Linked DNA regions of Caenorhabditis elegans. The protein of the gene in region 1 interacts with the protein of each later gene in a pairwise test. Each region holds a gene or a part of one and is shown on either strand. Other genes may lie near its edges.

What was found. Proteins that work in one complex are often made in the same cells at the same time.
Region 2: the proteins of C16B8.3 (region 1) and uso-1 interact in a two-hybrid assay, tested with the Caenorhabditis elegans proteins (2 studies listed by BioGRID).

Annotation. Positions count from the first base shown.
Region 1 is NC_003284.9:3,967,618-3,970,434, reverse strand, and holds C16B8.3 (Annexin A7), read left to right. Parts: upstream 1-1,800; coding exon 1,801-2,295; downstream 2,296-2,817.
Region 2 is NC_003282.8:13,451,737-13,456,644, forward strand, and holds the start of uso-1 (Uso1_p115_head domain-containing protein), read right to left. Parts: upstream 3,063-4,908; coding exon 2,961-3,062; intron 2,046-2,960; coding exon 1,950-2,045; intron 1,764-1,949; coding exon 1,608-1,763; intron 1,545-1,607; coding exon 1,300-1,544; intron 46-1,299; coding exon 1-45. Other genes in the region: Y38H8A.7 (uncharacterized protein), read left to right, coding at 3,770-3,859, 3,907-3,990, 4,060-4,153, 4,198-4,297, 4,348-4,399.

The DNA.
Region 1 (2,817 bases):
TGTATTGATTTTTTATTCAGATTCGCAAATATCAACTAAATTTTTATAATTCCAAACAATCATAAAAACACTTAACAAAATACATCAAAAAATTAAGCGGGCCGAACCGGGGATCGATCCCGGGACCTCTCGCACCCTAAGCGAGAATCATACCACTAGACCATCCGGCCACGTTTCGAGCTGATATGTATTGTAGTTTTCCTGAAATAACCATATGCATAATACATCAAAAGCATATAACCATTCGCTACAAGGAAAAAAGTAAGTGGGCCGGACCGGGGATCGATCCCGGGACCTCTCGCACCCTAAGCGAGAATCATACCACTAGACCATCCGGCCACGTCTCGTCGTGAACGCCTCTTCCTACACATGCACGCTCTCGTGAATAGCGCTCTGCGTGTGGTCGACTAGTCACAAACCAATAAACAAGTCTATCTGCGTCTCTACTAAACAAGAAAACTCTGAACGCAGTAAGCATTGACCTTGAAAATGCAGAGTATGACTTTTTCGAAAGTTTTGGTTAGGAATAGGATTTCTAACAATCAAAATTGCTAATCGTGAGAAATTGTTTTAATATAATTCAAATTACTTTTCATAATTATTATAATTTTCACAAATTGTTAAACTCGTAGAAGATGATGTAAATATGAATGTATTCCGCGATCAAATACATTAATAATACATAAAAAAATATTCAAAGCCTTTTCTTACAATTCCCCATAATTTTACTGAATGTGTCTCACGATTCGATCAAAATACAAGTTTTCAAAGTTACATGCTGAAAATGCTTAAAAGAGTAAAAGGAATGGGCCGAACCGGGGATTGAACCCGGGACCTCTCGCACCCAAAGCGAGAATCATACCACTAGACCATTCGGCCACATGTTTCCAATGTCAAAATCATGTGAAGACACTAGGTGGTCAGAGAACTGATCCGCAAACATGTTCGGAATAGAACAGGTGCGAAATGCATAGGCGCAGAAAATCTTAGCTAGGAAGTGTATTGATCGGCCTTTCTGGTTTGCAAAACGGACTGAAATAGTTATTAAAATTACACGGATTCAAGAACTAATACACAATAAAATTCATTGAAGTTGAAAAACAAAATTAAATCGTAATTGAGTTTCAAAAGTCTGTTAAAATTGTAAAAGAAACTTACAGACCCAATAGGGTTGAAAGTTGTCCGGATGGCTCAGTCTGGATGGTTGTCGCGGTCAAACTTAAGGTCAGCATTTCTTACCTCCAGACTACAGCCAGTCTTTCCTGAAAAGTCGAGCGAAGCTTGGATTTAACTTACAACAAGACCGACGGAGAGCAGACTGGCTTAATTCAAGAAAAAGTTTTGAATTTTAAAATATTGCCCTGATCTTTTCCATTCTTCCTGATAATTTTTTTGACGTTTGTATTTGATTGGCATTCCAGTTTGACATTTCGATATTATTCCTATTATAAATTCAAATGAATGTAATCTTCCTTCCCATTGAATCATCCAGAAGGTCATGTCCATGATCTATCCTCATGACTCATGGATTGCAAAGAAAGTTTCAAAATATACACTGAAAACGCCCTCGTTTCTTTTTTGTTCATTCGTTTCCATATACGTCATTGTTTGCTCTTCTCTATGGAAAAACGAGAAACTTCTTCTGACAATGCAAACTGATAACCGTATCACATTGTGAAACCTTCTCGTTTTTGAGGCAATAGGCGGATCGCAAACTAACAACTCACAATCGATCGTTTTTCAACCTTTCTGTTTGATTTTTTTCCCTTTTAAACCCCTCAACTTACACTTTTTCTTCAGATGTACGGCCGTCGCACGTGCAGTTCTTCCTCCTCAAGTTCTTCCTCTAGTGACGGTTCTTATCGTTCCCCAGTTGGCTTCGGTGTTACTCCAATTATGCCTCTTCCATATGGAGCCCCTCCACCACCAGTTGGCGCCGGAGTTGGATATGCTCCACCGCCACCAAGACCTTACGGAGCCACATATGCACCCCCACCACCTATGGGAATCGGTGCTGGAGTGAATCCTAGTGGATATGTCCAACAAGCCCCACCACTCCCAACCCAAGGATACTCGGCGTACAACCAACAACCACCTCCACTTCCACAGCAACCCTATCAAACTAACATGTATCCAAGCAACCCAGGATACTCAAGCACACCAGGCTATCCACAACAGCAGCCATATCAAATTGGAACCGGAGCCACGCCAGCCGGTATGTACCCACCACCACCAACAGGGCAATATCCTCCACCTCCACCCGGACAGTATCCAGGATATCCAAGACCATATTGAGTTAATATGTAAGCTTTTGTATACCTTTTGTACTACTAATCAATTTAATATACCATGTTTTTTCTTGCTGTTTGAATTGCCAAATAAATGTTAAAACTGTTCAATGTTCTTTTCAAAAATTTTAAGAAATACTCCAACAACTATTGGTTGGTTTGAGTGTCAGTGGCACGTGGAAATGTTTGAAAATTACCTTTAGAATAATTTTACTTGATTTGTCTATTTATGCATTCAACATTTATTGTTAACTTTCATAAATCCTATTGTTCCAATAGATGCAATATTGGACACATAATCAACTTGTCTAAATTAGTTCTGATTGTGGTTTGATATAACAGTTCGATACTATAGGTCTAGGAAATATTCGATTCGATGTCACAATATTAAACATAAATCTTCAAGTGATTTCTGTGAAAATCAAATGAATTCTATGATCTCCAGTAAGTCGGACGCTAATTCAACGAGTATTATTTGATTATTACTGGAACCCATCAAAGCAACTCTGGAACCCATTAAGAGTAAAAC
Region 2 (4,908 bases), on another chromosome or scaffold:
GTTCCACGATGACGAAGCAGGTTTGAAATCAGCTGAATTGCAGTTCTGAAATAGTAAAATACAGATTTTTGAAATAATTTATAGAAGGATTCGGGGGGTTTTTGCTCGTAAAGACTCAAAAATGAGCTCAAATGGACGAATTTCGTAATAGAACTGCTCAAGAAATTTTCAAAATTTTGTATTTTTTATGCCGGTTCAAAATTTCGAAATATTATATAATTACACTGATTTTAGCTAAATGCTCGAACTTCGGCCATTTTTCCGTGTTCCAGCTGTCCGAAATTGACTTTTTTGGAATTGTCATCCTTTTTTTGCATATTTTGGTAGTTTATATCATTTAATTTCGTTTATTAAAGTACATTTAAAGCCTATAAGTAGCCAAAAATCATAAAAAACGGTTACCTATCGTCTTTAAATGTACTTTAACAAACGAAATAATATGAGATAAAGTACCAAAATATTCAATAAAGGACGAGAATTCCAAAAAAGTCAACTTCGAACCGCTGCGACACGGAGAAAAGGCCAAAATTCGAGATTTTAGCTAAAATCAGTGTATTTTTTCGAAATTTTGAACCGCCATAAAAAGTTTTTCAAACATTTTCGAGCAGTTTCAATACGAAGTTCGATTATTTGAGCCCATTTTTGGGGGTATACGTTCAAAATCGTCCGAAATCTTCCTTAAAGGAGGATTCGGGGGAATTTTTGCTCGTAAAAATTAAAAATGCGCCAAAATACACTAATTTTGAAGATATAATTCTCAAAATTTCTGAAAAACGGGCTAATTTCAGTTAAAATCTCCAATTTTATCAATTTTTCCGCGTTAGGACTGCTGCAATGCAGTTTTTATCGAATTTTCATATTTTATTTGATCTCACGTTATTTCGTTATTAAAAGCAAACACCAAAGATAATAAAAAATCGGATACCAAACCAAAAAAAAAATGCAATAAAGACTGTATTTATACTGTTGTAACGCAAAAAAAGGAGCAAAATTGGGGATTTTGCCTAACATCAGGTGTTTTTAATTTCGAAGATTGTCTCGCAACAGCCGGAAATCGATTTAATTCAATTATAATCATATTTTGCCGTTTTTTGAGGAATTTTCAGTCGATAGGCCCCTTATTCAGTGCCTTTGGCCTGAAAATGTATCTCAATCGGAGAAAATACGGATAAATTAAAAAGAAAATTAATTTGCGGTTGTTGTGACACCGATAAGTTGACGAAATTGGAGATTTTAGCTGAAATTAGTGAATTTTTTAAAGCATCTTGATTTTTTTCTCGTTAATTTCGGAATAAAAACCTTCGAACTCCAATATCGAATTGTTCAACGGCGCATAAAACTGAAGAAATGAAGCCTTTTCGTTTAATCATCACTTCGGCTAATCGTTCTCCTAATTCATCGGATTCTGAAGAATCGTCGTCTGTTGACAAAACGATTGCCATCGTGTCGAGCACAATTGTCATGGCTTCGGTGTTCATGCGATCTGTTTCAAGCACGTCAATGAATGCATTCATTCCCATTGTTCCGACGGCTAATCGATATTTCTGAAATTACACGTTTAATTTTAATTGTTTAATTTTAATAGTTCAAATGATTTTTTCTCTCACCTTTGCGACACCTTTCAGCCCTCTCAACGCATCTCGACGGTCTTCTGGTGCCGTACAAGTTTCTGCTCGTTCCACAAGTGTTTCTACATATTCAGCTCCATTATCCTCGTCTTCATCTTGCTGTCCGCCGCCAAAAAAGTTCCGAAACAGCGACATCTGCAAAGCTACACGTGGCAGTGAGCGGAAAATGGGATTGTCGTGTTGTTGAGCGAATATAAATGATAATTAAATGCATTTTTTAATTTAATTTATTTATTTCTAAATATTTTTCTTTATTTTCTGAATTTTAACATAAAATAAATGAAAAAAAACGGGAAAAAAAGAAGAGAAAAGTGGAAAAACCTGTCGTGGAATTGGAGGATGCGTTCTCAATGGAGCGCGCTTGCTGACTCTTTTCGGACTTCGTTTTTTCGCTTGCAGACGTTGACGGAAATTGCTCTGAAAAAAAGATCTGCTCAAAAAGTGAATAAAACAAATATTTCAATTGTTTTAATAACAAAATTTGCATATTCAACTGAATAATAATTATACTGAATTCAAGAATTTCAAAAAAATTGGAGAAAGTTTGGGAAACAGATGGAAATTTTCAATAAAATCGTCGAGAAAACATTTTCTGTCAAAATCCGGATTAAATCCAGAAAGAAGAGTACCAGCTGCCCACGAAAATTTCGGGTTTTCCCCCAAAAGAACAGTCTTGAGTCCTGACACGATCGAAACTTTTCAGCTAAATACCGTACACGTGGCTCAAGCCAGTGGTCACGGTGTTTTATTTTATACTCATACCCAACATTTTGCGATTTTTGCGCCAAAAATACGGTTCCTGGTCTCGACACGACTTTTTTTTTGTTATATTCAAACCAGGGCGCGCCTTTAAAGAGTACTGTAATTTCGAACTTTCGTTGTTGCAGGGTTTTCATCGTTTTTTCATAGTTCTTCGTTAAAAAAGGCTGTTTTTATTTTGTAAAAAACTGAAGTAAAACAATTAAAACACATAAATTTTAAGAAAAACAATGAAAAGTCGAATAAAATGCCGCAGCGACAAAAGTTTAGAATTACAGTACTCTTTAAAGGAGAGCACCCGTTTCCATGCAACGAAAAATTGTCGTTTTGAGACCAAGAACTACCGTATTTTTCGCGCAAAACACATAAAAATTGCAAAATTTCCCGTCTGGCTAATATCTTTAATAAATATAAAGCATAGATTTTTTATAAATTGACAGGCTATTTTCAAATATTAAATTAAAAAAAAACAAAAATCAGCGCTAATATGCTCAATTCAAAATTTTTTAAATTGAAAAACATTGGTTAAAAGTAGAAATAACAATAAATCAATATATTTTGCAACAACTTTACCTGAGGCAAATTGAAAAACGCATTGGAAATTGTCGTGTCACTGGAAAACGATCTAACTGAAAGAGTTGATCCGGTAATTGAAGACGTTGAATAAGCGAACATTTCGATTGAATAAAACTATCGGCTCAGAGAGTGTTAGAGTGCGTAAAAGTGTAATGTAGGAAGAGGGCACATTGAGTGAGTTGATCGGGAGAGAAAAGTGAAGAGAAAACGGATAGAATAACAGAATACTGTTACTTCAAAATGTTTTGATTACGGGTAATGTATACATTTCGATATATATTAGCTTTCAGGCAAATCAACAAATTACTGGAATTGAAATTTCTGGCAAACTTTATTTTATTTTATTTCAATGTGTTTCAATGTTCAAAAAAAGAAAAATTTCCGAATATACTTCAAATATAATTCAAATAAATGCCCAAGTTAGAGTACTCAGATAAATCGAACCACGCAGGCACCGCTCCAAACCACGCAGGTGACTGCCCACCACGCAGTCAACGCGTCAAGACCACGCAGGCAACCAAAAGCACGCAGGTGACGCCTAGGAACCACGCAGGCGACTTGACGGTGGGCAGCTATTGGCAGTGGCTGCAAAACCACGCAGGTGACGCCTACATACCATGCAGGCAGCCAACGTTCAGCCACGCGCGGGATTCCTAGGCCAATGGCTGCGTACTCCTCTTGGACAACTTTTTCTTCTATTTTTTTTTCCTAATTTAATGGAATTTTCCGTTTTTTTTCTTGCAAAAAGCACTTTTATATTAATTTTCAATTTCTTCATGAAACTCAATAATTGTTTTCAGGTAAATATGTCAACCCCGGCCCGAAAAACCCCAAAAGGAGGCCGAAAGCGGCGTGGCAATGGACTGGAGGCGCCGCATTCGATTGGTCGCTTCAACGTAAGATAAACTTTATTTTTAAAAAATATATAGCAACAAAATTTCAGAAAAAACCTTCGGAATCGTTCGTTCGAACTATGGACTGGGATTTCAAAGAGCTTAGGAAAATCGCGGAAAATTCCAAGTCAAAGGTGAACAGAAGTTTGGCAGCTGCACAAATTCTCCAAATCCAGATGTAGTTAAAATAGTTCACTTTTCAGACAATTCCTCCAGAGCTCCTCCACACCTTCAGTGTCCACCCAAATTCGGTGAATCATCAGATTCTTCAAGGAAGACTTCTCAATTGTCCTATCAGTAAGCTATTCTTGTCCAATTTTTTTTTAAACAAAAATTTTCAGGCGTTCTTCACAATATTCTACATGTTGTAGCCGGATTCGAAGGACAGTTCCCGAGTGCGGATTTTGGCGATGTTTTCTCCCGACAGGTGGATCAAAAATGGTAAACACCCTTCTATCAATTTGTATTTCCAAAAATCAATAATATTGCAGCTTGAACGCACGGAAAAAGATGAGCCAGGAAAAGGACACACCATCACACTGATCACTGGGACGAAAACAACTGCCTAATGGACTTAATTTTGTTTCCCACCTTTTTTTGTTGTTATTTTTGAGATTTTCGTACTTTGCGTTTTAGATGGTTAAACGGTAGGAAGGGGAAGGAGCGGGCTGCGAACTGCCATTGCTGCAAGACCACGCAGGTGTCGCCTCCAAACCACGCAGGCAACGCGTTGAAACCACGCAGGGACTGGCATTCTTGAGCGTGGTTTGTACGCGTTGCCTGCGTGGTTTGGAGCGGTGCCTGCGTGGTTCGGTTTATCTGAGTAGTAAATTTTAAGGTCTTTCAGCATATACCAATAATATTCCAGTAGGTACAAGAAGCTTCACGTAGTTACAGAAATAGTACATTTTCAGCCCTACCTTTTAGTGCGTATTTTATTATTTAATGAAAACTACCATTTATAGGCAAAAATAGATGAATTTTCCAAACTTTGAAAATTCATAAATCTTTTGAAAGTAACTTTTTTTGAAATGTCTTTCAGAAACTTTGTA